Canis lupus familiaris: one gene and its partners. The protein of the gene in region 1 interacts with the protein of each later gene in a pairwise test. Links are inferred from orthologs where the notes say so. Each region holds a gene or a part of one and is shown in the gene's direction. Other genes may lie near its edges. The genes, in order: FAM161A, TRIM54, DHX32, CCDC136, CCDC57, CDR2 and SSX2IP.

Evidence for each region.
Region 2: the proteins of FAM161A (region 1) and TRIM54 interact in binary tests that used the Homo sapiens proteins (3 or more experiments, as listed by UniProt). The two-hybrid records come from large-scale screens. The link is inferred for Canis lupus familiaris from reciprocal best matches to the Homo sapiens genes FAM161A and TRIM54.
Region 3: the proteins of FAM161A (region 1) and DHX32 interact in binary tests that used the Homo sapiens proteins (3 or more experiments, as listed by UniProt). The two-hybrid records come from large-scale screens. The link is inferred for Canis lupus familiaris from reciprocal best matches to the Homo sapiens genes FAM161A and DHX32.
Region 4: the proteins of FAM161A (region 1) and CCDC136 interact in binary tests that used the Homo sapiens proteins (3 or more experiments, as listed by UniProt). The two-hybrid records come from large-scale screens. The link is inferred for Canis lupus familiaris from reciprocal best matches to the Homo sapiens genes FAM161A and CCDC136.
Region 5: the proteins of FAM161A (region 1) and CCDC57 interact in binary tests that used the Homo sapiens proteins (3 or more experiments, as listed by UniProt). The two-hybrid records come from large-scale screens. The link is inferred for Canis lupus familiaris from reciprocal best matches to the Homo sapiens genes FAM161A and CCDC57.
Region 6: the proteins of FAM161A (region 1) and CDR2 interact in binary tests that used the Homo sapiens proteins (3 or more experiments, as listed by UniProt). The two-hybrid records come from large-scale screens. The link is inferred for Canis lupus familiaris from reciprocal best matches to the Homo sapiens genes FAM161A and CDR2.
Region 7: the proteins of FAM161A (region 1) and SSX2IP interact in binary tests that used the Homo sapiens proteins (3 or more experiments, as listed by UniProt). The two-hybrid records come from large-scale screens. The link is inferred for Canis lupus familiaris from reciprocal best matches to the Homo sapiens genes FAM161A and SSX2IP.

The regions. Positions count from the first base shown.
Region 1 is NC_049231.1:63,129,068-63,133,206, reverse strand, and holds the start of FAM161A (protein FAM161A), read left to right. Parts: upstream 1-1,339; 5' UTR 1,340-1,354; coding exon 1,355-1,540; intron 1,541-2,055; exon of another isoform or gene 2,056-2,179; intron 2,180-4,139. UniProt on the Homo sapiens protein: Involved in ciliogenesis.
Region 2 is NC_049238.1:21,340,359-21,344,615, forward strand, and holds the end of TRIM54 (tripartite motif-containing protein 54), read left to right. Parts: coding exon 1-26; intron 27-1,565; coding exon 1,566-1,661; intron 1,662-2,293; coding exon 2,294-2,527; intron 2,528-2,784; coding exon 2,785-2,807; intron 2,808-2,917; coding exon 2,918-3,042; intron 3,043-3,203; coding exon 3,204-3,296; intron 3,297-3,598; coding exon 3,599-3,615; 3' UTR 3,616-3,757; downstream 3,758-4,257. UniProt on the Homo sapiens protein: May bind and stabilize microtubules during myotubes formation.
Region 3 is NC_049249.1:35,375,324-35,378,823, reverse strand, and holds part of DHX32 (putative pre-mRNA-splicing factor ATP-dependent RNA helicase DHX32), read left to right. Parts: intron 1-403; coding exon 404-649; intron 650-1,997; coding exon 1,998-2,097; intron 2,098-2,184; coding exon 2,185-2,343; intron 2,344-3,500.
Region 4 is NC_049235.1:7,706,669-7,710,844, reverse strand, and holds the start of CCDC136 (coiled-coil domain-containing protein 136), read left to right. Parts: upstream 1-1,376; 5' UTR 1,377-1,396; coding exon 1,397-1,454; intron 1,455-2,195; coding exon 2,196-2,303; intron 2,304-3,922; coding exon 3,923-4,165; intron 4,166-4,176. UniProt on the Homo sapiens protein: May play a role in acrosome formation in spermatogenesis and in fertilization.
Region 5 is NC_049230.1:986,431-989,930, forward strand, and holds part of CCDC57 (coiled-coil domain-containing protein 57), read left to right. Parts: intron 1-2,133; coding exon 2,134-2,356; intron 2,357-2,981; coding exon 2,982-3,134; intron 3,135-3,500. UniProt on the Homo sapiens protein: Pleiotropic regulator of centriole duplication, mitosis, and ciliogenesis. Critical interface between centrosome and microtubule-mediated cellular processes. Centriole duplication protein required for recruitment of CEP63, CEP152, and PLK4 to the centrosome.
Region 6 is NC_049227.1:23,520,492-23,524,708, forward strand, and holds the start of CDR2 (cerebellar degeneration-related protein 2), read left to right. Parts: upstream 1-1,417; 5' UTR 1,418-1,514; coding exon 1,515-1,593; intron 1,594-4,217.
Region 7 is NC_049227.1:63,807,022-63,809,350, forward strand, and holds the end of SSX2IP (afadin- and alpha-actinin-binding protein), read left to right. Parts: intron 1-974; coding exon 975-1,149; 3' UTR 1,150-1,829; downstream 1,830-2,329. UniProt on the Homo sapiens protein: Belongs to an adhesion system, which plays a role in the organization of homotypic, interneuronal and heterotypic cell-cell adherens junctions (AJs).

The DNA.
Region 1 (4,139 bases):
TCAGCATGTAGGTCTGTCTTGCTGTTTTGGGGTCAGGCCCCAAGAGGGGCACGTGTGGCCACAGAACCATCTGCATGTGAATGACTAGAAGTCCCTATATTTATGGCATCCATATACCTCATAAGCTTCTAGCTCTAGCTTCTGCTCAGAATCCAACCAGTACCCGTTCCAGTATGCAAAGCAAGTCTCAGCCAAAACAAAGAACAGCCTGAAGGAGGTGGGGAAATGGGGGATTTTGCAGATACTCACACTCCAGCTCCATATGCAAGAAACGCTTGGTAAGAAGAGTTCAGAGGTGCCTGGCTGGCTCAGTCAGTAGAGAGTGTGACTCTTGATCTCAGAGTCCTGGTTCAAGCTCCATGATGGATGTAAAGCTTGATTAGAAAAGAAAAAATGATTTAAAAAAAGAAAATGAGCTCAGACCTCAGAGATAAGTTCTAGGCAGCACATGCACATGCAGCACATGCAGCACATGCTGCAGCTTAGGGCTCCTGGGCACGACGAGGCTGAAGGATAGGGAGGAGAGGGTGATGGCAGCCTCAGCCTGAGGCAGCAGGGACTTAGGTAGCAGGTGGCTGAGGCTGCACCGCAGTCCCATGGGACAGGGGGAAGCCGCCTCTTGAAACGCCCAAATCTTGAGTGGGGAGCTGCTGATGGGGTGGGGTGGAGGTGGGATGTGTCTGCGGCTACTGTTCCAAGTTGGTGGACCCTTGCCCCTTGCAGCAAAGGCCCGCTTCGTGCACCTGCAATTTCAATCACTGGTGGGTGGGCCAGGCTCCACCTAACTCTGGGCTTTGATTGGTCAAACCAAGAAAAAAAAGGAAGAAAAAAGACCGGTAGCTCTCAGGTCAATCAGCAGAACGTACCTCTGCTCCCCCTTCTCGGGCTCCGGCGGAGCCGTGTCAGGTAACAGGTGCGAACCACGCGGCTGCTCTGAGGTCGCCGCGCGACAGCATCGCCTGCTTTCCGCCGCCGCCTTCACTACCGTGTTAGTTCAGTGAATGAAAACGCGCTATTGTTTTTTCCTACAAAGCGAGTCGTTTCGCCGGTACGAGGCGAGCAGTGCGCACCTGGGCGGCGAGGCGGAGGCTGGCGCAGAGGCGCCCCTTCCCGCCCGCCAACCCTCTAAGCCGGCCGAAGGCTCAGCCTCGCGCCGCGCCTCCCGGAAGCGCCCGCCCCGGGTTTCCCGCCGCCGGAAGGGGAGTCCGGGGGCCTTTTGGCCCCTCGCGGCCCCTGTAGCGTCCCTGGTTACGGCGCCCTTGGTAACCGCCCGCCCCAGCCGGGAGCCGCCGGGTGGCGGGAGTCCGCGCCCGCTCCCCGGCCCCGGGCGAGCGCGGGCCTCGGCGGCGCGGCCATGGCAGCCTCGCAGCGAGCGGCGACCCCGGCGGCCGCCCGCCTCCAGTCCCCGGGAGATTCCAGCCCCGGAGCGCAGGCCGCCCAGTCCCAACGCGAAGACCCCTCGGAGGCTGCGACGGCGGCGGCCGCGGCCTTGAGGGACGAGGAAGACGGAGAGGAGGCGGCGCCGCGGGCGCAGGCGCGGGTAATGCAGGGGCGGCCGCGGGCCGCGGCGGGGTGTGCGCCGGGTGCTGGCTGGCGGGCGGTTCGGGTCCCGCTGGGTGAGCGGCGGCCTCGCGGCCGGGAGGCGCGACGCCCTGCCCAACCCCCTCCCCCAGTGGGCCCGGTCCGCACCTTCTCTGCACCCCCACGGTAGGTACTCAGAACCGGGGCGCTGGATTGGAAGATCTTTTAATTTTCCACAAAGAGATCGTTGCAAAAAAAAAAAAAAAGATTTCTTGGAGAGCCTCCATTTCTAGAGAGCATCAAGTATAGAGCTTTACTTCTCTTGCTCCAGCATCTGTCGCACTTGCAAAAGCAGTTACTGCTTTTTCTTTTCAACTTGCGGAGAACTGATGTACCCCATAGTGCATGACTCATAAAACTCAGGCGAATCAGCTGTGCTGTCAGGTGTGTTTTGTTGTCCCTTTAAAGTCTTGGTTATTGGTGCATTTTTTAAAATTTTATTATTATTTTTTTTTAATTGGTGCATCTTCACAGTGTACAGGAGAGGCGGTGTTTAAACCCATTCAAGAGTTCAGGGGGGCACATCATACACAGATGAACGTTAAGCATCCAGAGAAACAAATGACTGAGGTTCCAGTTTCCTAAACGACTCTTCAGGGTGAGAAAGCCCCTTGACAGATCAATGTTCAGTGTCAAATGTGTTGTGAGCACCTGCCCATCAGGTAGAGGGCTGAGTTTGCCATCTACTCTGTTCCCTTAAAAGATGGGACCATTGAATTTTAGCTAGCCATGTGCAGATATAAACCTTACCCCCAGTTAAAGATTCTTAATACCGTTTGTCCAGAGCATCTCAGATACAAACCATTATGGTCTATGGCTAAAAAAATCACTGGTATTTTGGAATTCTAACCTAAACACTAAAATTCTATCCTAAACACTAAAAGTGTTTACGGAGAAAATCTGTAGCAACACCTTCAATGGTCAGTATTTCACCAGCGGACAAACTACCCGAGGTCATCCAGAGTAAGGTACATTGAGACCCTGAACATGAACCAAGGTCAGAGTCCTGGGAACAGTTTCATTCATAATAAAGCTTCCCCACAAAACAAATCTCAGAACCAACAAAGGAGGCAAAGTGATAGAGGAAAAAGATTTGAGTGGAGGAAGAGGATTGGGAATCCTGGACAGGATCCATTCTCTGCCATTTGCGAGGTGATACTAAGATGTAACTTTCTTCAATCTCAGTTTCCTTGTATGTAAAAGAACTCTAATAAATGTGTCTCTTACTGGGATATTAGGAGAACCAAAGGAGAAAATGTGTGCATTATCTACAGAACACTTTGTATAAATTCATAATAATAATAATAACTGCCAATGAGACTGTCATTTGAACAACTGCCCCAAAGATTAAATTCTCCTTTGGCTTACTGTGCTGGAGGAGTCAGTCATTTCTGTAGTAGCAGGTATACTTCCAGACTGCCCTGCTAAACTGCAAATCTGTATCAGAAATTTAGTGCCTTAGGAGAGATCGATTCATCCAACAAGCTAGTTTCAAAGGGACAGATTACTACCAAACAGAAAAGGGAGCTAAGTCTTATGAGTTTAATACACTTGGAGGATCCAAAAGCAAATCTGGATAAGCTGCCACAGTAGACCTGATAGCCAGAGGGCACCGGTTGGAGAAGGAACCCCGAAAAGGCAGGAAAGGGTGCAGGAGCCAAGCTTGTCTTCACAGTTCATCTTGAGTCTCTACCTTGGTTTTTTTAAAGATTAATTTGTTTCAACTTTATCATCTACAAAATGTAGTAAACTCATGGATACTATAAGTACCACACAAGACTGATAAGAGCGGAGCTTGGGTGGCAAGTTTGGTTAAGTGTCTGGTTCTTCATCTCAGGATTGTGAGTTCAAGCCTATGCATTGGGCTCCATGCCTAGCCTTTAAAAAAAAAAAAAAAAAAAGACTGGTTAGAGAACCACTAGGCTCCTTTCACTCCTTTGGTTTGCCACAGTGAACCCCATCCCCCTCCCACACACACCTTGAAGGATCCTGAGCCCATATTGAGCTCTGAGGTATGTTCCTTGAATCTAGCCTCCATTGGAGATAGCATTTCATAGGCCTTGCTATGTGGTTGATGATGGCATGCGTAAAGCAATATTCTTGAATTCACAGTTAAAGTCTCACTGACTTTCCTAATGGGGTAACAAATATCAAAGAGTTATTAAGCGCTAGTCACTGAATATTCATTTGTGAGTGAAGCAGACAGATCCCATCGTCACAAAGCTTCCAGTCTGGTGGGGAAGTTAGACATACAAAATGAATAGTCAAATGATTATAAGATGAGAAATGCTGGGAAAGAAATGAATAGGCTTCTGTGATTAAAAAAAGAAGTAGTCAGGAACCTACTTAAATGAGTAAACAATTAAGTCAATACCTGGTAGATAAGAAAAAGCAGCCATTTGAAGACTAGGGGTAGAAAAAACATTCCAGGCTGAGGGAACAGCAGAGGCAGCGGCCCTAAGATAGGAAGAGAAAGAGTTTTGTGTGATTAAGGATCTGAAAAGAAAAGAGATGAGAGAGAAGGGCAGGGAAGGAGACAAGGTAGGAGAGATGAGCTG
Region 2 (4,257 bases), on another chromosome or scaffold:
TGCCCACCATTTACAAACGTCAGAAGGTATCAAGCAGTGGAGGGAGCAGGCATGGTGGGGCTGGGGACAGTGAACAGGGTCTCCAACTTCAGCCTCTCATTCCACTTGGTTTTAAAGGCTGGCAGATCAGGGCTACAGTCCCAGCTCTATGCATGACTCAGTGTGACCTTAGGTAAGTCACTCGACCTCTCTGACCCTGACTTTCCTCACTTATAAAATGAGGGTGAAAATGCCAACTTGTAAAGTTATTTTAAGGATACAATTAGATGGATACAAGCAACTTCAGTTTGGCAGCCTAGATACTCTCCAGGCCCTCTCACTACCACACAACTACATTTGACATAAAACATAATTTTAAAACTATATCAGTGGGGCACCCGTGTGGCTCAGTCGGTTGAGCATCTGACTCTTGATTTCAAATCAGGTCATGATTTCAGGGTTGTGAGATCAAGCTGCATGTTGGGCTCCATGCTCTACTTTGAGATCCTCTCCCTCTGCCCCTCCCCCTAGTCTCTCTCTCTCATGAACAAAATGAATCTTTTAAAAAAGGGAAATAAAAATTATATCAGAGGACAAATGTTGGCAGTATTCCTGAGCTAGACAGCTGAGACTATGCCTCCAGACTCCTGAAAGGTGGACACCTGAACTGAAGACCTCCACAAATCTTGGGTTAAACTGGAATCTCAGGAACTAAGGTAGTCAGATGTGCCACCGGCTTTTGACAAAAGCAAATGCAGAATCTGCGTGGAGGAAACCCACCCAATTTAGGCTCTTAGGGTTTCCTTAGATTAAGAACAACAAAATATTAATTCAAAAGTGAAGATACAGAAAGAAGTGTACCTGAGTGAAGTCGGTAGAAACCAAAATTAGAGATTAGACCTCTGAGGAATTCAGATATTGGAAATATTAAAGAATTGGGAATTACTGTGCATAAAATGATTTCTTAAAAGGATGGAATAAAACCTTAGCAATAATAGATTGCCAAACATGCAGATTTAACAAAGAGCCAAATAGAGCTTTTAAAAATGAAAATGTGATTGTTGAAATAAGACATCCAAAGGGTAAATTAAATGACAGATTCCTCTGAAGAAAGAATTAGCAAACAGGAAGGCAGGCCTGAAAAAGTAGCCTAGGATGCAGCACTGGGAGAGGAGAAGGATGAGCACATATGTCTCCTCAGAGTCACAGAATGAGCAAATAAAGAGAATGGAGATGAGGTAATAGTATCCTAAGGAATAATTACGAAGAATTTTTCTGAATTGATGGAAGGCGTGAATCTACAGACGAAGCATTTAGTCCAGGGCCTGGCAATTGGTGGATATTTGGCAAATGTCTGTCCCTTTCTCATTTGTTGATGGAGGCCCTCCTCTTTCCATCTCCTTACAGAATCCACAAATGTGCTTTCACACTTCTTGGACAGTACCAAGCCACTAGATCTCTGGAATAGCTACACTGCTGGTGGAGTGGAGGGACAGTCCTCTCCTAGGCAGCCCTGGCTGGGGTGGGAAGGGTACAGCTCTAGACAGGGTCCTCCAGCTCTAAGTGCTGGCCTGTGTGTGTGGCAGAGCGAGCTCAGTGATGGCATCGCAATGCTGGTGGCAGGCAACGACCGTGTGCAAGCAGTGATCACACAGATGGAGGAAGTGTGCCAGACCATCGAGGTGAGTCTGGGTTGGGAGAGAGGGGAAATTTCTGGGTTCCTGGTGGAGGAGGGAATCACAATTAGTGGGATATGCTTAGCCAAGCTACTAGGTTTGAGTTCCCAGGGTAGCTCCGTGACTTTGGTCCAGTTACTTCACTTCTCTATGCTTTGTTTTAAACATATAAAATAATGATAATAATATGATGGCTACCTCACTGGATATTTTTGAGAATTAAATGAGATAATATAAGTAAAAACTAGGACCAGAGATACTTCCGAACTCCTTTAAAATATTGTATTTGCTAAAGAGAGAAAATCTCAAGTTTTCACAAGAAAAAAAATTGTAACTATATGTAATGATAGATAACTAGACTTGTGATCATTTCACAATATGTACAAATATGATCATTTCACAATATGTACATTTCACTACATTGTACATCTGAAACTAATATAATGCTAAAAGTCAATTATATCCCAATTTTTAAAAATCTTGTAATTGGTATTACTGAAAAGACCTGGGTTATCAGCAGCCCGTGGCTATGGGTGGGGTACTTTCCTTCCTGTCTGTGCCGCCTGTTTACTGGGGAGTGGGACAAGTAGGTGCGTGCTCTCCCAGCTAGAAATCTTATCCTTGCTCCGCTCTTTCAGGACAACAGCCGGAGGCAGAAGCAGCTGCTTAACCAGAGGTTCGAGGCCCTGTGCTCCGTGCTGGAGGAGCGCAAGGCCGAGCTGCTGCAGGCGCTGGCCCGCGAGCAGGAGGAGAAGCTGCAGCGCGTCCGGGGCCTCATCCGCCAGTATGGAGACCACCTAGAAGCCTCCTCTAAGCTCGTGGAGTCCGCCATCCAGTCCATGGAGGAGCCACAGATGGCGCTGTACCTCCAGGTGGGCGCTGGGGGAGGGCGGGAGGCCGCAGAGTGGCGGCAGTGGGGGCCTTGGCACCAGGAGGGCTGGGCTCCAGTCTTACCTCTGGCAGCCAACTGCCCCACGGCCTCGGGCAAGTCACCCAGTCTGAGTCTGTTTTCTCCTCAACGACCCGGGATATGCATCCGCGCCTACCGCGCAGGACTGTGGGCGCCAGCAATGGGACTTTGCCAGCGCTTGGCGCGGTGCTTACGCTCACCCTCCCTTCTTCCCTGCAGCAGGCCAAGGAGCTGATCAATAAGTGAGTAGGCGGAGCGGGAGAGGCAAAGAGGGGCTGCCTGGGCTCGGCTGCCCCGCAGAGCGGGTTGAGGGTGCTGCGGCGACTCCAGCTGAGCGGCTGCCGCGCCGCAGGGTCGGGACAATGTCGAAAGTGGAGCTGGCAGGACGGCCAGAACCGGGCTATGAAAGCATGGAGCAGTTCACCGTGAGCGTGGAGCACGTGGCCGAAATGCTGAGGACCATCGACTTCCAGCCCGGTGAGGGAGTGAGGATGGGAGGGGGCGGCGGGCGCTGGGACTGGGCGTCCCGAGGCGACGCGGGGAAGGGGGACGGGGGACGGGGGACGGGGGGGGGGGGGGGGGGAGGTCGCGGCCAGAGAAGCAGGGACTCCACCTCACGGGGTCTTCCTGGGGGACAGGCGCTTCCGGGGAGGAAGAGGATGAGGAGGTGGCATTGGACGGGGAAGAGGGCAGCGCAGGGCCGGAGGAAGAGCGGCCGGATGGGCCGGAAGGTGAGTGTGGCCCGAGGGGCCTGGCGGGGCTGGCTCGACGCCCCGGGCCCCTCTGCAGTGAGGCCGCCCTGCGGCACCAGCGATCTTTGGTGGCCTCCCCACCCCCAGCGGGAGGGGCGCCCCCTAGCGCGCGTGCAGAAGTACACTCTCTTTCCCACCAGCCTTTCCTCTGGGGCTTTGGGAGACCAGGTTGGGTCGGGAGGTAGAGGAGAAAGCCACGTGGCTGGGGGAGAAGGGGCGAGCTGGGGTTCGGAGCTGCCTTGTTCCTCTGGAACGCCCGCCCACCGAGCTTTCTTTCCCAGGCACTGGCGGGCACTGAGCTGCTCCCTGTTGGGGAGCCCGCGCACCGGGGCCTGGCGCTGGGGTCGCGGAGGACCTGCTCAGAGACCGCTGCGCCACCCAGCTCGGCGCCCAGCCGCGGGGGAGGGGCTCAATAAAGGGCTAATGTGTTCAGACCCGCAGCTCCTTTCACTGCTCACTCTCAGTCTCGGCTTCCGAGTGACCCCATCACCATCCTGCCCTTCTCCGGATCCGGGCCCATTTGAGGGACGGAAGTGGAATGACCCCTGCGGGGCATCTCCTTGGTATCAAGCACGGTTTGGCGAGCTCAGTGCCAAGGGAAAAGGGTCGGGGTGGTGCGGCGGCACCAGCACCTGAGTTCTTGGGGGAACGATGGAGATGCGGACCCCGGGTGAAGGCCCTTCTGCCCGAGCCCTCGCGCCAGCATCTAGTTCCCCCCCGCCGGCCTGGGAGGTCGCACTTTCCCACGGGCTCCCACCCTGCTGTGGTTCCCTGCGCCCCACAACCGAGGCCAAAGGCTCTTCAGCACTTTTATTAAAAACTGGTGACGCACAGAGTGCTCAGGGCATCCCTGGGCCGCTCTAATCTGGCGGGACTGGGTCACTTCCAGTCGCGCACGTCCGGGCCCGGGGAGAGGGGACGGGGTCGAGGTTATCGCGGC
Region 3 (3,500 bases), on another chromosome or scaffold:
ATTTATTTATGATAGTCACAGAGAGAGAGAGGCAGAGACACAGGCAGAGGGAGAAGCAGGCTCCATGCACCGGGAGCCTGACGTGGGACTCGATCCTGGGTCTCCAGGATCGCGCCCTGGGCCAAAGGCAGGCGCTAAACCACTGCGCCACCCAGGGATCCCCAATGAAATTGTTTATAAATTATATTTAACTTCCCCAGAGAAATGTTCTCATCCAGTTACATCTTCTTTTCACATAATGATTCACATAGACAACAACACAGGTATTTCTTTCCATGTATACATTCTGCAGCTTTTGCCGACGGTTTTATTTAATTAGACTTTTTTTTTTTTTTTTTTTTTTAAGTAGCAGAGTTGTTTGTGACATGTTTATTCTCATGAATGACGTTATTTTTTACTTTAGGATATTGAGAAAGCCTATGAAATCGTCTGCCAGGAAGGATCGAACTTAAACCCAGATCTTGGAGAGCTGGTGGTGGTTCCTTTGTATCCAAAAGAGAAATGTGCATTGTTCAAGCCAAATGATGAAACAGAAAAAAGATGCCAAGTTTATCAGAGAAGAGTGGTGTTAACTGCTAGCTCTGGAGAGTCTTTGATCTGGAGCAATACGGTCAGATTTGTTATCGATGTGGGTGTGGAGAGGAGAAAGGTAATTATTATCAAGCAGGTAAACCATCTGCTGATAATTGTCCTTGGGTTCCTGCAGTTGTATCCACTGGGAAGTGAGGGTGACGCATGTGGTCTGGGGAGTCTCTGATATGCTCATGTGTGCAAAGGGAAAGTATTGCCAGTCTTGTTTACCCATTCCTGCCTTTCATTAGCACACAGGTAATCCCCAAACTAAGTTGATTGCGGTGCCACAGGAAAACCTTTTGAGAAAAGACACAACTGCTAAAGCATAAAGGTGGTGGTTCTCCTTGTCAGTGGTTTTTCGTAAGCTAAATAATAAGCAATTAAATAATAATTAAATAAATAATTATTAAATAATAGCAAGGCAAGTTATTTGACTCCTGAACCAGTCTTTCCCTGTGTACATCTACTGAGTATTTTTGGTAGCCCCTTTATCAACATCATTAGCATCTTCCCCGAGGTGATTTGCCAGAAATTAGTTTCCAGTACACAGCCTTTAATTTACCAAGTTTCTGCTTTAATGTTGACCTGATAAAATTCTATCCTAAGCTTTTAAAAATATTTTTTTATAACTGTCTTTAAATAAAATTAGGAAAAGTGCAAGTAGGATATCTCAAACTCTCAAAGACACTGGAACATAAGAAATCATAGCATTTAAGAACTGAAAGAGCCTACCCAAGTATTGATCCCGTTGCGCATTATTAGAGATCACGTAGCTTTTCTCCTTTAGGAAACTGGCTCTCCTAGTATCTTACTGTCTTAGTGCTACAGAGTGATTCCAACCATTCCGCAGGTTCCCTTGGAGCCACTTTGGATTCTTACCATTCAGAAAACCCAGGGATATTATTTGCACTCCCCCCGACCCCCTCTCCCCCACCAACAGGAAATTTTTTTTTTCAATAGAAAAAAAAATCACTGTTGGTGCCACATGCAGCCTTTGTCTGAGCCATTATATCTGGAGAAGCTCAGCTTATCAAGGTCAGACCGCTGAGGTCACAATTTGAATAAAACCTTGAACAGTCCCATCAGCAGATGATGATGCTGGTGCATATGTGGCGTATGCCCATCTGTCGTCATCACAGTGTCATGCTTTGAGAAATGACACTGCCAGCATTTCAGGACAGGTGTAGAGGTCCCATATTTATTGAACCTCCAATGAAAGCAGACAACTTGAAATCCATTTATCAAGGCACTAGCAGTTTCTATCTCACAGCAAGGGAAATAATAAGCGTCGTCCAGAGAGAATGAGTCCATAGCAGAGCATTTCAAGAAGTGACGTGCTCCGACCCACACGGTCCCCTCAGGTCCATCGAGCCTGTGAAATCTTGAGTGATCTGATGCTAAAGAGCCTGTCTTTCCATTTAAAGGTGTACAACCCTAGGATAAGAGCAAACTCCCTTGTCACGCAGCCCATCAGCCAAAGCCAAGCAGAGATTCGCAAGCAGATTCTTGGTTCATCTTCTTCAGGTAGCACCACGGTCACGAAAACCACTGCCAATTCCTGTGGGAAGGCAGCCTAGAGACGTTAAAACCATTCTTCTTGGTTTCTCCTAGGAAAACTTTTCTGCCTGTACTCTGAGGAATTTGCCTCCAAAGACATGCGGCCACTAAAGCCAGCCGAAATGCAGGAAGCTAACCTAACCAGCATGGTGCTCTTCATGAAGAGAGTGGACATCGCGGGCTTAGGCCACTGCGACTTCATGAACAGACCAGGTAGCGTTGTGCTCGTGTGTTGGCCAGCGCGTGGCCCCGATGTGCCGCCTCGCCTCCTGCCCAGCCCAGTGTGAAGAGCAGGTGGCGCTTGGCGGAGCAAGCAAGCGTCGGGGTTTGGTTCATACTGAAGCATTTTTCCCATTAGAGGGAAACAGTCTTAGAAGGACTTTTTTAAAAAGCCTCTAGAATCATCTGCCCCAACCCTGGAGAATTATCTGTCATTGGACCCTGGAGCCTGGGGGGCTGGGCCTGAGAGACCCAGCGGGTCTGAGTGTGGCATCAGAGGCCGCCTGCTGCAGAGGGCAGGGGACTTCTGGTGGCCTCCAGGCTTCCCGGTGGGACGTGAGTCAGCCAGCTGTCCTGCACCGCACCATCACCCGGGGGAGCTCCCCTGGAAGTTCCTTCCTTCACAGTTAAGGTCTAGCATTTCCACGGAGGGTGAGGTTCCGGAGCCTAGGACCGAGACTCTAGCTACGGGCTGGCCATCACCCTCCAAGGGGAATGACGCCTCTGGCAGGCCCTTGACAAAAGCCCCCTGTCACCCAGGAGGTGCTGGCTGTCTCCGCTCCAGTGCTGCCCTCCCTGGGACCGCAACTGCCCCGTGGAACACCAGCAGAGTGCTGTGGAAAGGCCGAGAAAGCAGGGACAGGTGGCCTCTGCGGTGTGCAGGGCGGCCACGCCACATGGTCAGCCTGGGAAGGGGAGCCGGGACCAGCTCCCCTCAGCCTCCCACATTCCCAGTTGGCTTCTCCTACCTGGCGGGCAAACGGCTTCCGTTCTGCCTATGATGTCGGGGCGGGGGGGCGGGGGGATGCTGGCTCTGGAGTTTAAAATGTTAGCAATCAGCGGCCACGAAAGGTTGAAAGCAGCAAACGCTCTGCTTGTTCTTGTCCATTTAAATACGTCTCCGGGGGAACAGCAGTAGCGTCCTTGTGGCCTGTGCAGACGCAGTGGTTCAGTGCTGCAGCAGCCCTCTGAGCTAAATGCTCTGAATTGCTCCATTTTACAGATGAGGAAACAGAGTCACAGAAGTTAGGTCGTGCACGCAGATGAGAAGCTGGACCCTCTGCTGCAGTGTCTCCTTACACAGACCGGAGCCCCAGGGGCCTGAGCATCTGTCCTAGTCATCCGTGCCCTCCATCCCTTCTCTGGTGCTT
Region 4 (4,176 bases), on another chromosome or scaffold:
CCTTTCTCATTTATTGTGTCAGATACTTTGTCAGATGCTAGACATACACAAATGACTAAAGTACTTCCCAATCTTCCAGAAGTTGGGCAGACACAAAAGTAAAAACCTGACCTTGACAAAGTGACAGGTGCTACCCCAGGAGTAAAGAGGACAGTGTGGAGCACAGCAGGCCTCTACTGGTCTAGGGGTGGGCATCAGGAGAGGCTGCCTAGAGGTGACTCCTGACTGAGGGTTGTAGAATAAGTAGGTATGTCTAGGCAAAGGAAGGCTTCTTTCCTGAAGAATACAGAGGGCTTGTGAACACAGACAATGCACGTCCATAACCTGGTGAGTGGATAGCCAAGAAAAGGGATTGGTGTGTGTCCCTGGCTCAGGAATCTCCTAACACTTTCCTCGATGCATTGGGACTGCCTGGTTCCCAAGTGTATCCACTTCTTTCCTGGGTGAGACCTGTAGAGACCTGAGAACGATTGCCTCCTCTGATCCCGCACCAGGTAGATGTGCCCTGAATGAACGATTACGTGAAACAAGCCCTCTGGGTTTCCACGTCTCCCTTGTATGAGAGTGAAAATCAGCAGTGCCCACTCGGAACAGGCTCCAGAGGCAGGGTGGGTGGAAGTCGTGCATCGCAGCTCCTTGGGTGTGGGGCCAGGGGGGAAGGCAGAGTGGTGGAGGGAAGAGGTCTTCAGGCAGTGAGGGCTGCGAGGGGCCAAGGCACCGCCCTCCCGAGGGGGTTCGGGCTCTGGCTTGGTTGGGGCGCGGGGAAAGCAGGGGGGTCAGGGCCCTGCGGGTCACAGATCTCGGCCTTGGCTTCCCTTCTCCTGCCTTGACGCGGTCAGTCCCGGGACGCAAGAGGCCACCGCGCGGGGGTGGGGGCTGCGGCCGGGGTCCGCGCTGCCTGCGGAGGTGGGGGACGCGGGCCCCGCTTGGCGGGCGTGTGTCCGCGCGTTTGGAGGAAACAGCAGCGGAGGATGCGTCCAGCTTTGTGCTCTTCCTGCCCCATCCCCGCGCGGGACGGGGCTCGTCTGACACTTGGCCCCGAGGGGTCTCCGCGCGCAGCCGGCCCGGGCGGGACCCTTCGCCGGAACCAGGCGACCTCGCGGCCACTCCGGGACGGCCTCACGCTCCGAGGGCGCCCCCGCCCCCGCCCCCGCCCCCGGCCCCCGGCCCTGGGGTGAGTCTGGGGCCGGGCTCCGTCGCCCCCCGCGCCCGCTCGCCGCCCGGGTCCCGGAGGGCGGTGGAGCGAGGGCTTCCGGGCGGGGGTGGCGTCAGGTGGCCCGGCCAGGCCCCGCCCCCTCGGCCCGCCCTCCCTCCCCTGCGCACCGGCTCCGGGTCCCCGGCCTGGCGGCTGCGGCGTCTCCTCCGGGCGGCGACGGCAGCGGCGGCGCGAGCGGCCATGGAGGCGGGCGCCGGGGCGGGCGCGGGCGCCGCGGGCTGGAGCTGCCCCGGCCCAGGTCAGAGCCGCCCCTCCCTCACCTCTCCGCCGCCACTCCTTCCTCTTCTCCATCTCTCCTCCCTCCAGACCCCCACGTCCTCGCTCTCCCCCCTCTCCCTCCGCCGCTCCCACCTTTCCGTCCTGTCTTCCTCCCTCATCCTGCCCCTCACCCCGGGCCCGGTCTCCATCTTTCCGGGCTGGGTCTTCCCCACACCGGTCGCATCATCCCCTGGCGGTCTCTCGCCCTGCACCCCTCCACCCCGTCGGTCCGGCCCTGGGCCCCAGACCCTGCGCCCCCTCCGGCCGAAGGCTCGGAGCGCAGGGCGAGGATGGGGTGGATGGGTCCAGGCAGAGAACGGAGCGGAGGGGAGCGGCCCCGGCCCGGAACCCCTTGCCCCACGCATCCCCCCGCCCCGCATCCCCTCCTTCCCCTCCTTGCACCACCTCACCCTCTCAGCCTCTCTGCCCTGGCTCTCGCCCGTCTCCCTTCACAGCTAAAGAGACTGTGCTGGGAGAGGAGCCTGGAACTGGGGATGCCGGGGAGGTTGGGCAGCGCAGGGCGGGATCCCCGCAGGCCCAGCTCGAGGGGCGGCTGAGGGAGGAAAGTCGCAGCCGGGGCCGCGTGAGCCGAGCACTTCCACCTGGATTAAAAACTCTGGGGCTCCAGAGGGCTAGAAGGCACGTCCCCCTCTCCCTCCTGTGCACCCCAGCCCCCAGCCCCCTTAGTAGCCCACCGTGCCTCCTCTCTTCCTACCCACAGGACCCACAGTGACCACTTTAGGCTCCTATGAAGCATCTGAGGGTTGTGAGAGGAAGAAAGGCCAACGCTGGGGGTCCCTGGAGCGGCGGGGGATGCAAGCTATGGAGGGTGAGTTTTCCCAAAGAGCTTTCTTTCTCTCCCCTCAGCCAACTTCCCTTCCTTCCTCCTTACCCCATCTGGTCCCCAGAGCTCCCAGCCAGGACAGAGCCCTTCCTGTAGCTCACCTGAGCCCCCTCTACCCTTCAGGTCTGAAATCTACCCCTCCTCAGGGCTCAGGCTTTGAGGGAGGTTCTGGGTGCCTCCCTTTGGGGCCCTAATCACCAGCTAACCAGGTTGTGTGTCCCGGGGGGAGCTGCCAGACAGAGAAAGAGGCCTCGTTGGACAGAGCTTTGAAGCAGGCCTTTCAGCAGGGGGTTTGTTCTCACTGCCACCCGACCCAGATCCCAAGCTGTCTCATATTTTTGAAAAGCAGGGAAGTGAGCATGTGAAGTGAGCATTGTCCTTCTGGTGCCACCACCACTAACTTTGAATGTAAGCCTTTGTGGCTTTGGTTCTCTTAGGATCCCTTACAGCCTGAAAGAATTGCCTGGGAGGGGGCAGGTGAGAAGGCCAACCTCCCAACACTCATGTATCCCCACCGCACCCATGTTACTTGACAGTTGCTGCCAACACCAGACTCCTGGAAGGATGCTGATCCGTTTCCCAGGACTCCCTGTGAAGTGTTCCCAGGTCTCCACGCACACTGTGTGGGCAACCCTGCTCCTTTAAGGGGGACAGATGACACAAGGGGTCCCAGATGGACCTTAGGCTGCTGTCATGAGACCAGGGATTCAGAATTGTAAAACAAAGCAAATAATCAGTATCCTGACAAAATGTCGCTATTTCAAGGAACTGCATTGCAGCAAAGGAGGGGGTACTCACCAACCAGAGGCTGGGGACCAGTGCACCCCAGTTTCCTGATGCATTAAAATGGTAGGCTTTTTTTTACACACAAGTACAGCCTTGGAACTGAAACCTGAAGTTTCCTTCAGGTTTGGGGAGGGAAGTTAGGAGGAGGGAACTCATAACACTTGAGGAAGGGAGAGGCCTCCTAACAGCAGAGAAAAGGAAGTGGACTCTGCAGAAAATTTCAGAACAGCCATGTGATAGAATACATTTGAAAGGGCCTCAGTATTGGTCCAGTAAAACATTTAAAATCACTTCATTCAGATGTTTTCTTTTTCTAACTACCGATAGGCAACCCTTTCTTATTCTGGAAAAGCTAATTTCTTCCAAGCCACCTGGATAATTTTTTAACTTTGGACAAACCCCAGACTTTAACTCTTGTCCCATTTGGCCTAAAGACACGGCCAGCATCTGAATCCTTTCTTGAGTACTTGTCCCACTATGCAGAGACCACCAGGACTGCAAGAAGCATGTATCCTTGTGCAAGCTCACATAGCTAACCAGCACCCAGCTGCTCAGTTTGCCCGAAGTCAGTAGCAAGAGGCCACCTGGTACAATACTGGTCCAGGAAGGGCCTGGGTGGGGATGGGCTACCTCCAAACTTGACCCTTACACCTGAGGACTCATCACCGAGTGCAGGTCCTGCCGAGGGGGCTCCTTGGGGGACACCAGGTGGCACTATTATACCATCTCTGCCCTGGGACAATGAGCAGAAGGGCCCTTGAAGGACTCTGGAAAAGAAGTTGCCTCTGACCCCCTGGTGGGATGGGTTTCTCTCCTAGGGGAAGTGTTACTCCCAGCTCTCTATGAGGAGGAAGAGGAAGAAGAAGAGGTGGAAGAAGAGGAAGAGCAAGTGCAGAAAGGTGGCAGTGTGGGCTCCCTGTCTGTTAGCAAGCACCGGGGTCTGAGCCTCACAGAGACAGAGCTGGAAGAGCTGCGGGCTCAGGTGCTACAGCTGGTGGCAGAGCTGGAGGAGACCCGGGAACTGGCAGGGCAGCATGAGGATGACTCCCTGGAGCTGCAGGGTGAGTGCCTG
Region 5 (3,500 bases), on another chromosome or scaffold:
GGCCGACCTTCGGGGCGCTGTCCTGCGGCTCTGGTGGCCTCTCCGTGTGGACCTCGTCCATGTTCCCAGGCACGTGCTCTCTCTGGGCAGGTCAGGTCTTGCTATCGGATTTGGAGGTTTTTCCACTTGTGCAGTGACTGTTTTTTACATCATTGTAATTCTTCAAAACACAACGTAAATGGTTGTGTGTCGCACCGCACAGCCCATCCCTTCCGGGCGGCCGCTGAGATGCTCGGCTAGCCCCTGCCACCCTGGTGCGCAGGCTATGCTCATGCGTCCCCGGGAGCTCGCCGACTGGCTGGAGCGCCACTGGGGCTGCAGGGAACCGGGGGCTGCAGACTGGGCGGTACTGGGGCGGCGGCCCCCTCGCACAGTGAGCACAGCTGTGGCCCTGCAGGCCTGTGTCTGTGTGTGTGGGGTGACCCTGCAGGCACGTGTCCATGTGGGGAGGGGACCCCACAGGCCTGTGTCCATGCCGGACGGAGTAGGGTCCTGCAGTCCCATGTCCGTGTGTCAGGGGGACCCTGCAGGCCCGTGTCTGTGCCAGGGGCTCTCCTAGGGCTCAGACCAGGACCAGGCAGTCTGCCGGGCTGCGCTCCCTGCCCCCCTTGTTCAGGCGCCGTGTTTCCCTGCCAGCGGGTCTGCAGACCCTCGTTTCTTGGAGCTCATCTGACTTTCTGGTGTTGACAGCCAGCAGCGGGCCTGCCGCGGTGAAGCCCTGTGCTCAGGGCCGTAGCCTGTGTCGCTGTCATTTCCTCAGGACGCCACCGCTGAGCGTGGATGCGGGGCCGTGGGGCGTCCCCTTCCTGCACGCCGCACGCCCACCCTCCCTCTGTCCCATGGATTCCAGTGGCTGTCATGAGAAGTCAGCAGAAACCTGGTATCTGTGCCTGTGCGTGCCGAGTGTGCTGTGTTCTCATCGCTTTTGGGCATTTTCTATCTCTGATCTGTTTTAGGAATTTGATGATGACGTGCTGTTTGGTGGGATTTTCTTTGTGTTTATCTTGCTTTGAGTTTGGTGGACTTCTTGCATCTGTGGTCCTCTGTTCTCATCAATCCGAAGGTACTGTGGTCAGCGTGTCGTAACTGAAGGACTTCTTCCGCAGAGCCTGTTGATGCTCCCGTCTCTCCCTCCTTCCTGCACCTTCTGGTCTGCTCCCAGGCCATCCTCAGTGAATTTATTATTTCAAATGATGTCTTTCTCGTTTCTCCAGAAATTCTGGTTCTTCTAAAATTATCTTCTGGGGGCTCCTGGGTGACACAGTGATTGAGCATCTACGTTTGGCTCAGGTCCTGACCCCGGGTCCTGGGATTGAGTCCCCACGTGGGGCTCCCTGCTCAGGGGCGTCTGCTTCTCCCCCCGCCCGCCCCATGCACTGGCTCTCTCTCTGAAATAAATAGATCTTTTAAAAAGATAAATAAAATTCTTTTCTGTTCTTTTGCTTTTACGCCCATTTTCCTTCCTTTCCCTGAGTGTGTTTGTGGTTGCAACTGTGCTCAGGTTCTGACGGCCACGGAGCGTGTCTTCACGGTTCACCTGGGGGATCGCGTGTGTCAGGGCTTCACTCCTCTTCATGGCTGAACATTGCTCCATCTTGCCACGTTTTTTTAATTCATTCATCCATTGGTGGATGGTTGTGTTTGCACATTTTGGCTCCTGTGAAAAATGCTGCCGTGAACACGCGTGTGCAGGTTTTGCCGGGGCCATCTGTTTTTGGTTCTCTTGGGCTTATGCTCAGGAGCGGAGTGTGGGTCGGGAGTCACTCTGTGTTTGATCCTTGGAGGAGCCGCCAGACGGTCTTCCATGGCGACGCGCCGTCACACACACGCAGCAGCCCTCCCTGTGGGCACTCTGCCTGCCTGTCTTTTCCACACCAGCTGCCACTGTAGCTGAGAAGGAAGCTGCCTGTCAAACAGTAGGCTCGTCTTCCCAGCGCCTGCTGGGAAGGTTTTCATTGTCCCCGTCAGTTTAGGTGGAAGTTTCCTGCCGCCGGGTGGGCAGACGGGAGGGAGTGCAGATGCGGCCAGCCCTGGATGGGCAGCATGCCACAGGTGTCTTCCTAGCTGTCAGCGTTTTCTTTTCTTTTCTTTTTTTTTTTTTTTTTCTTTTCTTTTCTTTTTTGTATGTGCCAGGTGCTCCTAAGGCATCGTGAAGAAGAAACCAAGGAAAGTTTTCCGTCCTATGAGATCCAGAGGCTCCAGGAGCAAAACACAAGCTTACGAAGGGCTGTTTCAGAGATGAGGAAAGAAATGGAGACTCTGAGTGAGCATGTTCTTCCTCCTGCCCCGTCAGGGGGTCAGGCCGGCGGCCCAGAAGAGCCCCGGCCACATCCAGAGGCAGCTGCGAAGGCTCCTGGTGAGTGAGGGCGAGGGTGGGGGCAGGGGCTGGGGGTACGTGGGTCTCCACGGGTCCCAAAGGGGCTCACTTGGAGTCTGTAAATGAACAACTGCTTTAAAACATCACATCAATGTGTGGCAGCAGCCTTCCCCCGAGAGAGGTTTCGTGGAGTCCGTGTTCACAAAAGGGGTTACAGCGTTTTATTGGTTGGGGACGAGGAGAGCGAAGGGCTGCGTCCTTGGCACTTCCAGCCGGGAGCCCGCTGGCCGGGGAGCTGCTGGGCGCTGTTCAAGTGGCGGGCAGTGTGGGGCTGGGGACGCTGAGCCTCTCCTCGGGGTGTCCTGTGCTGTGGCGGAGCGGGGCCCCACTGGTGGCCCAGGAGTGGCCGTGAGCAGAGGGCCCCAGGCAGCACGGCCCCGCGCGTGAGACGCCGTGCACTCCCACAGACGCCAGTGCGTGGGGGTGAGGGGGTGCTGCCTGTCTGCCTCCTTAGGGAGCGCCCTCGCCGCAGGCGGGGGGGGGGCATTATGGGTGGGCGGGCAGGGAAGCCAGCCACCCCAGCCCGAGTGGGCCTCTACCTAGGTGACGGTGATGGGAGCGTCCGTGTGTGTGCCTGTGCATTTACTGGTTTTTTTGGGGGCAGATCACGTTATGGTCCTTGAAACGGAAATACGAAATCTAAAGGATAAACTTAAAACCCTGGAGGAACAAATAGAAGATGTCTTAGATCCTGCAAAGAGGTCCTCATCTTACGCTGACGTTCAGCCCAGTGTCCACTGCCCGGCTGAGGCCCCCGGTAAGTGTCCTCGTCTCCTCCTGTCGCATGCTCTGTCCCACTGACGCGGCCTTTGTTTTCATTGGAATATAAACGCTACAGCAAGTGCAGGAAATGCAAAGGCACAGGTCAAGGAAGGATCACAGCCGCGGGTCCCTGTTCCCGGTGCCCGGGAGTCCCTGGGCCAGGCTGCTCACCCCTCCATGTGGGCACCTCCCTGCCCCCCACCTGCTCGGCCGCACGCAGATGCCCCCTCAACCTGGCTGGGGCGCTGGCCCAGCGGAGGGTCTACCTGGGGGACTAGGGGGCAGACGCCGGCCAGGCAGGGATGATGTATGGGGAGGGAGGGGGAGCAGGACCCCCACCTCCAGATCACCTGGTCTCCAC
Region 6 (4,217 bases), on another chromosome or scaffold:
TATCTCTACCTGAATTTTGACAATTAGGGCTAAGTAAAGGCTGTAACGTAACCCAGTTTTCTTCTTTTTTTTTAACCTAGCAATAAAAAGTAATCAGTAACATTTTGCCTTTTGGTATAACCGAATTCAGAAGAAAAGGATTTGAGTTTACTGTTCCTCTTTTATTACTAATACCATTATTGCTTCTACGTTTATTGGTTGGCATTCTACTACTATAGGAGAGAGCACGGCTGTCTTTTATGAGCTGTATCTTGACCTTTCCGTCAAGGTCGAGAACATTTACCTTCCAATCACCCCATTTAGGAGTTTCTGAGTTTTGTCTGCGCGATGATGGTAAAGGCCGCTCCCTACGAGTAGCAATTAACTTTAACTTTAACCCCAAGGAAAGCGAAGTTCACTGCCCTGCTGGCCATCAAGTGCTGCATTCAGCTCCAGCTCCCTCCAGGTGCAACGTCACGACCCTGGGTACTACACCTGGCGGTCTATGAACCTTATAAAAATCGTGTACAAAAGTGCTTGCAATTTTTTTCCCCTAAGGAAATACCTTTAACTGCACCCTATCCCCCCTCCCCCCCAGACACTCAAATGGGAGCCCTTCATTTCAGGGGGAAGTGAGTACAACTCTCAAGGGTTTGGAGGTGAGCGCTCAATCAAGGAGAAGACAGCTAACAGCCCTAAACTACCGACCGATCCGTAACTTCCCAGCTCGAGGAGCACAGCTGGGGGGGGGGGGGGGTCCAAAGTCCAGAAGAGGCCAGCCGCGCAGCGGACCTCGGGCTCCCGGCACCCTTCGCGCCTCCGCTCGCACGAAGGGCGCCCACGACAGCCGCCCACGGCTCGGACGCGGGCCCCCGCCCCTGCAGCCCATTTAGGCTGCCCACTGGCTAACTGGCTGGCCGGACACCCACCACTGGCGCCGCGGAGGCCGCCAGCTCCACCGCCAGCACCCCAAACGCTGGCCCAGGAGCGACCCAACGCACAGGCGAGGGCGGGGCCCTCGGCCGCACCCCTTCGCCTTTCCCCCGCCTTCTTTGTTTCTTCCGGAGTCGCCATTGGCTGCTTGCCCGCGAGACCGGGCGACCCGCGGGCCTGCGGTGAGACGGGATTGGACGACGTCGCCGCCGCTCGACCGGCGGCCCGCTCGCGATTGGCCGAGGCGCCGCCGGGGGTTTGAATCGCGGCCCCGGCCGGGGAGGGTTCTGCCAAAGTGCCACGTTGGGCCCGGCTGCGGCGTGAGGAGCCGGTTCAGGGCGCCGGCCCGGGCGCTCGAGCCGGGGCTCCGGTCGTTGGGGCCGTTGGGCGGCTCGAGGCGGGCCGGGGAGCCGGTGCGCGGCGTGCGGGGCGGGTCGCCCGGCGGCAGCTCTGGTCAGGAGGCGCGGCGGAGCCTGGGCGGCGGCGCGTCCCGCCCGAGGGCGGCTCTGGCTGAGGGCGGAGGAGCCGGTGGAGCGCCCGGGGCAGCGGCTGAGGCGGGACGGCGGCGGCGGGGGCCGCTGCCCCCGGAAGAGCCGGCCGAGATGCTGGCGGAAAACCTAGTGGAGGAGTTTGAGATGAAGGAGGACGAGCCGTGGTACGACCACCAGGACCTCCAGCAAGGTGAGGGCGCGGTCACCCCCCCACACACACACTCCTCGGGAGGGCGGCCTGGCCGGGAGCCGCCCGGGCGCGAGACCGTTACGAAGTCGCCCCTGCCCGCGGCCGGGGGCCGCCAGGTGCGGGAAGGTCTGGCGCTCACCTGGCGTGGGGACCCGCCGCGCGCCCGGCCCGCCGGAGGCCGCTTCTGCGCAGTGATCCTCGCCACCCCTGCGTGTGGGCCGCGCTCTGTGGGGGGCGCTTCCCCGGGGGGACCCCGCGTAGCCCGCGTGGACGGGGAGCCGCCGCAGGTGGTCGGGGTCGCGGGGGGGGGGGGGTGCGGGGTGTGTGGCAGGAACCGTGCCGGGCCCGCCCACGTCAGCCGCCCCATCCGTTCCCCGGAGAGGAGCTTCTCTTCTCTTGCTCCCATTTCCCAGATGAGGAAAGCGAAGTTAAAAGGGCCAAATGACTTCGCTCGAGTCAAGTATGGGGGCGAGCATTTTTTGAACTCACACACTCAGAACGAGGAGTCATGGCCACTGCCCAGACCCTGTGTCTTCTTTATCACCGGTTTACAGCTTCTTCAGTTGGGTGTCAGAAAGTTGAAAAAAAAAAAAAAATTTTTTTTTTTTTGTTGCTTATGCATAGTTCAGATGCCAAGTGAAAGTGACTTGAGGCACTTTGCAGTTTGCGCTCTAGCTTTTATTTTATTATTATTTTTTGTAAGTTTAAAAACAGGCATTGGGATCTTGGCCTGCCTTGGATTTCTTGCCGAAAGTGTCTCCAGAGAAATCTTGGAGCAGCCTTCAGTTTGGAGCCAGTGCCCTCCCCTTTTTTTTTTTTTTTTCTTTTGGTATTAATAGCGGGAATGTGCAACTGGGGACACTTTTTGAGTGTGTGGGTTCTTAACACTGGTGTTCATTTGATCCTCTCATCAAGCTATATGAATCTAGTAGATTCTATTATTGGGGGATCTAGGGTTCCACTCCAAACTTCAGAGCAAACTTTCTTAGCCACTATACTGAACACTCCTTAGGAATTTTTTTCAGGCACCTTTGGTGTCTGCAGTTCTGGGTAAATCAACTTTTTTAGCTTTAAACGTGCACTGAAAATTAACATCTAATTGAGGTGACTATTAAATGACCATGGTGTTGGTTCATGCTAATCATTGAATGTGGGGTGGCAGGGAAGGATGTAGGCTTGAATGACTTGTACTTAGAAAACAAAACAACTCTTTTGGGGAAAGGTGGCTTCTGATATGCCGTGGACAGTCACTTAAACCAAAGTAGTTCACCATTTCACTTAAATAGCCCAAGCTGTTCAGTGGCTGCAGTGCAGTATTTCCCATCATGTTCTGAATGTCCATAGGCAAATTTGTCTTACATTTTAAGGAAGCTGTTTTCAAAACTGCTGCCCCTCTCCCCCATAAGGGGGATGCCTGGGTAGCTCAGCAGTTTAGTGCCTACCTTTGGCCTAGGACGTTATCCTGGAGACCCAGAATCGAGTCCTATGTCGGACTCCCTGCGTGGAGCCTGCTTCTTCCTCTGCCTGTGTCTCTGCCTCAGTCTCTGTGTCTCTCATGAATAAATTTTTTTTTTTTTTTTTTTTTTTTTTTTTTTTTTTAAAGGAAGGTGAGCTGGAACCCTCCCTTTTCTTATTTATTTTTTATTTTTATTTTTTTTAATTTTTATTTATTTATGATAGTCACACAGAGAGAGCGAGAGAGGCAGAGACACAGGCAGAGGGAGAAACAGGCTCCATGCACCGGGAGCCCGATGTGGGATTCGATCCCGGGTCTCCAGGATCGCGCCCTGGGCCAAAGGCAGGCGCTAAACCGCTGCGCCACCCAGGGATCCCTCTCATGAATAAATTAAATATTTTTTTTAATTCCCTATAAGGATTGATGGCCTAGTTTGATACATTCTCCAGGTTTAATGAGGCAACCACTGCACAATTGGAGCATTTTCCTACAATAAATTATGTAGTTTGTATAATCACAGCTAAATATTTTTCTTTAGCAAGCATAGATCTGTGCAGGCCCTCTCCCCTTTTTAAAAATCTAGCATACTTAGCACATAATAGAGGCTCAGTTTTAATACTTATTGAACTGAGTCGCTCACATGGGATTAGTGTTTTCATGGCTCCCTTCCATCAGGTGCTTTAGTCCACACTGCCCTTCCACCCTGTGGGAAGTTTTAGGAACAACCAGTCATAAGATTTCAGTCTATGGGAAACAAATGCAACATGTTGGCACTACATGTGGAATTCTTTAACCTCTTTAACAAAGCCATCGGATGTTCAAGTTTAATGAAACTTTAATGAGCACAGGTCTAAATCAACTTAATGTCACTTTGCATTTGGAATTTGTTCTCTACTTTTTGGAAGACTTTTACATCTGTTACCACAATTTGACTTTGACATAACCCTGTATGTCATAACCAAGTGTGTGGGTTAGGAATAGATGTGAAATTCCAACAATTATAACTTGTGGAATATAGCCTGTAGAAGAATGAAGTCTGCACTGTGAATAAAAGGATATCTTTGTCCCAGTTTTTAAAAATTATATGTTAAAAAATACCTAAACTTGGGCAGCCCCGGTGGCGCAGCGGTTTAGCGCCACCTGCAGCCCAGGGCGTGATCCTGGAGAC
Region 7 (2,329 bases), on another chromosome or scaffold:
AGCAGATAAAAATGTATCATTTGTTTACTTAGATTTGAAAGTAATCATTTAACCAGATTTTTTTAAGATTATATTTATTTGAGAGAGAGAGAGCAAGCATGAGGGGGTGGCGTGCCGAGGGAAAAGGAGAAGCAGACTCCCCATTGAGCAGGGAGCCCAACACAGGGCTCGATCCCAGGACCCTGAGATCATGATCTGAGCCAAAGGCAGACACTTAACCAACTGAGCCACCCAGGCGCCCCAGATTTTTTTGTTTTGAGGCTGGTGGCAGAGCATACCTCCCAGATTGTGTCATTAAAGAGTAGCAGCTGTGTCTGGGTTCAGACACTAAGATTGTTGCTCTCTCACACTTACAATTAATTGAGCATTGGTGTAAATGCTTAATGTGTGTTAACTCAGTTCCACCCAACCCTATGAGAGAGATACTATTATTTCCGTTTTACAACTGAGGAGGCTGAAGTACAGTGACATAGTGAGCTGAGCAGGTCCAGCTGGGATGAGCCTAAACCATCTCTGGCTCAGAACCTGGACTCTTTAATGCTTTTGCAGGCTCTCATTAAATAGCTGTGTGGGTGAATGGCTGCGTAGAGGAAAGCATGCATGAACAAATGGATGTGCAAAGAAGAAAACAGTAAAGAATTATAAAATAGTGGCAGGAAGATGGGAACATGGGGAGACACAAGCTTTCCAAGCCCTCATGTTCTGTATCTGACAGGCTTGGGTTGGGCAGAGAGCTTCAGAATAGCCCAAAGAGATAAATAAGTAGATGGGTAAACAGATAACTAGGTGGATAGATATGATAAAAGTGATAAATTAGGCCATTTTGAAATACTTACTTTGTTCCTAATCAGTGTGTCCTCAAAAAATTTTACTTAGCATAGGGCAAGGGAACAATTCAAATATAGATATTGAGGCAGAACTTAAGTATAAAAGGAGGAGATGATGATGAAGATCGATCTTTCTCTTCCCTGCAGTTCCATCAATGTACTGAATATAACTCCTGAAGAAACTAAACCAAATCAGGTCGGCAGAGAAGGTACAAATCAGAAATGGAGCACAGCATCAAGACCTGGATCACAGGAAGGGTGCTACAGTGGATGCTCCTTGACCTACACAAACTCCCATGTAGAAAAAGATGACTTACCTTAGACGTGTGGACTGGAATTGTTTTCATTAACACGTTCATCAGATTTCACATCTAAGTTGAGACAGGGTGTGTCATAAAGCCAATCATCTCTAATAATTTAAGATGGTCTGAGTTGTTTGTTTGGACTTTTCCTCCCCCAAAGAGCTAAAATGTTAAATCTATTAAAAAGGATATAAAAGCTTTGGATATGTATTTTTAGTAACAGAAGCATCTGGTTCTGTGAATAAAGGAATGTATATGTTTGGATGGAAACAGAAGCACTAGAATGAGTTTCCTCTTATAGGTATTAAAAATAGCACTTTTAGGAAACTGATTATTGTAAATGTTTAATTTTGTCTCATATATAGTTGGCATTGAAAGTTTAGCCTTTACTTGAATGTATACTGTAGATTTTTAACAAAGCAAGTTCTATATTTATTATGTTTAGTGTGATTTGAAATTTCCTCTTTCATATGTTTTAAATAAAGTGAAATTTATGTATGTTTTGTACATAGATATACATGATTATGTTAAGAGGCTTTAAGATTTAAAAATTTTACACGTCCATAATTATAGTATTTCATGCCAATAAAATTTTTTAGTGGTATTCTGTTTACAGATGTATTAGAGCCATTACCACATTATGTTTAAGAATTTTTTGAATGCATCTGAGCAATAAATACTCAAAAGCTGTTCCATGAAACTGACTTCTTTAGATGATTATCACTACTGACATTGCATTTTTGAGATTTCTACAGCAGAAGATTTATGTATGTAGGCTATCACAATTTTTCAAAGGACTTTTGATGATAGGGTAGTAGAGGTAAGATAACAAAAGTACCTTTGAATAAAACTAAGAATATTGGTTTCAGATATTTGGGATGATAAAAGATATTTAAGATAGCTGAGTGGTGATATTTTCTTTACTAGACGGGAACCGATACCACAACATCTCTACCAGCTTGGGCTTGGTATAGTTGCCAATAATTTTGTAACAATTTTCCAATGGGGTGTTTGCGACTAATGATAAAGAAATCTGACAAAGTGTAAAAAGCATCAGATGTTATCCAAATATTCTCCTGGACAAACTCGTGTCATCTCGGTTTCAGACCCAATGGCATGTTTCTTCATGTTGTTATTGATGATGATAAATGTAGGCCCAGGTTCTTGCCCAGAACTACCAGAAAACTTGAGCGCCTGCCC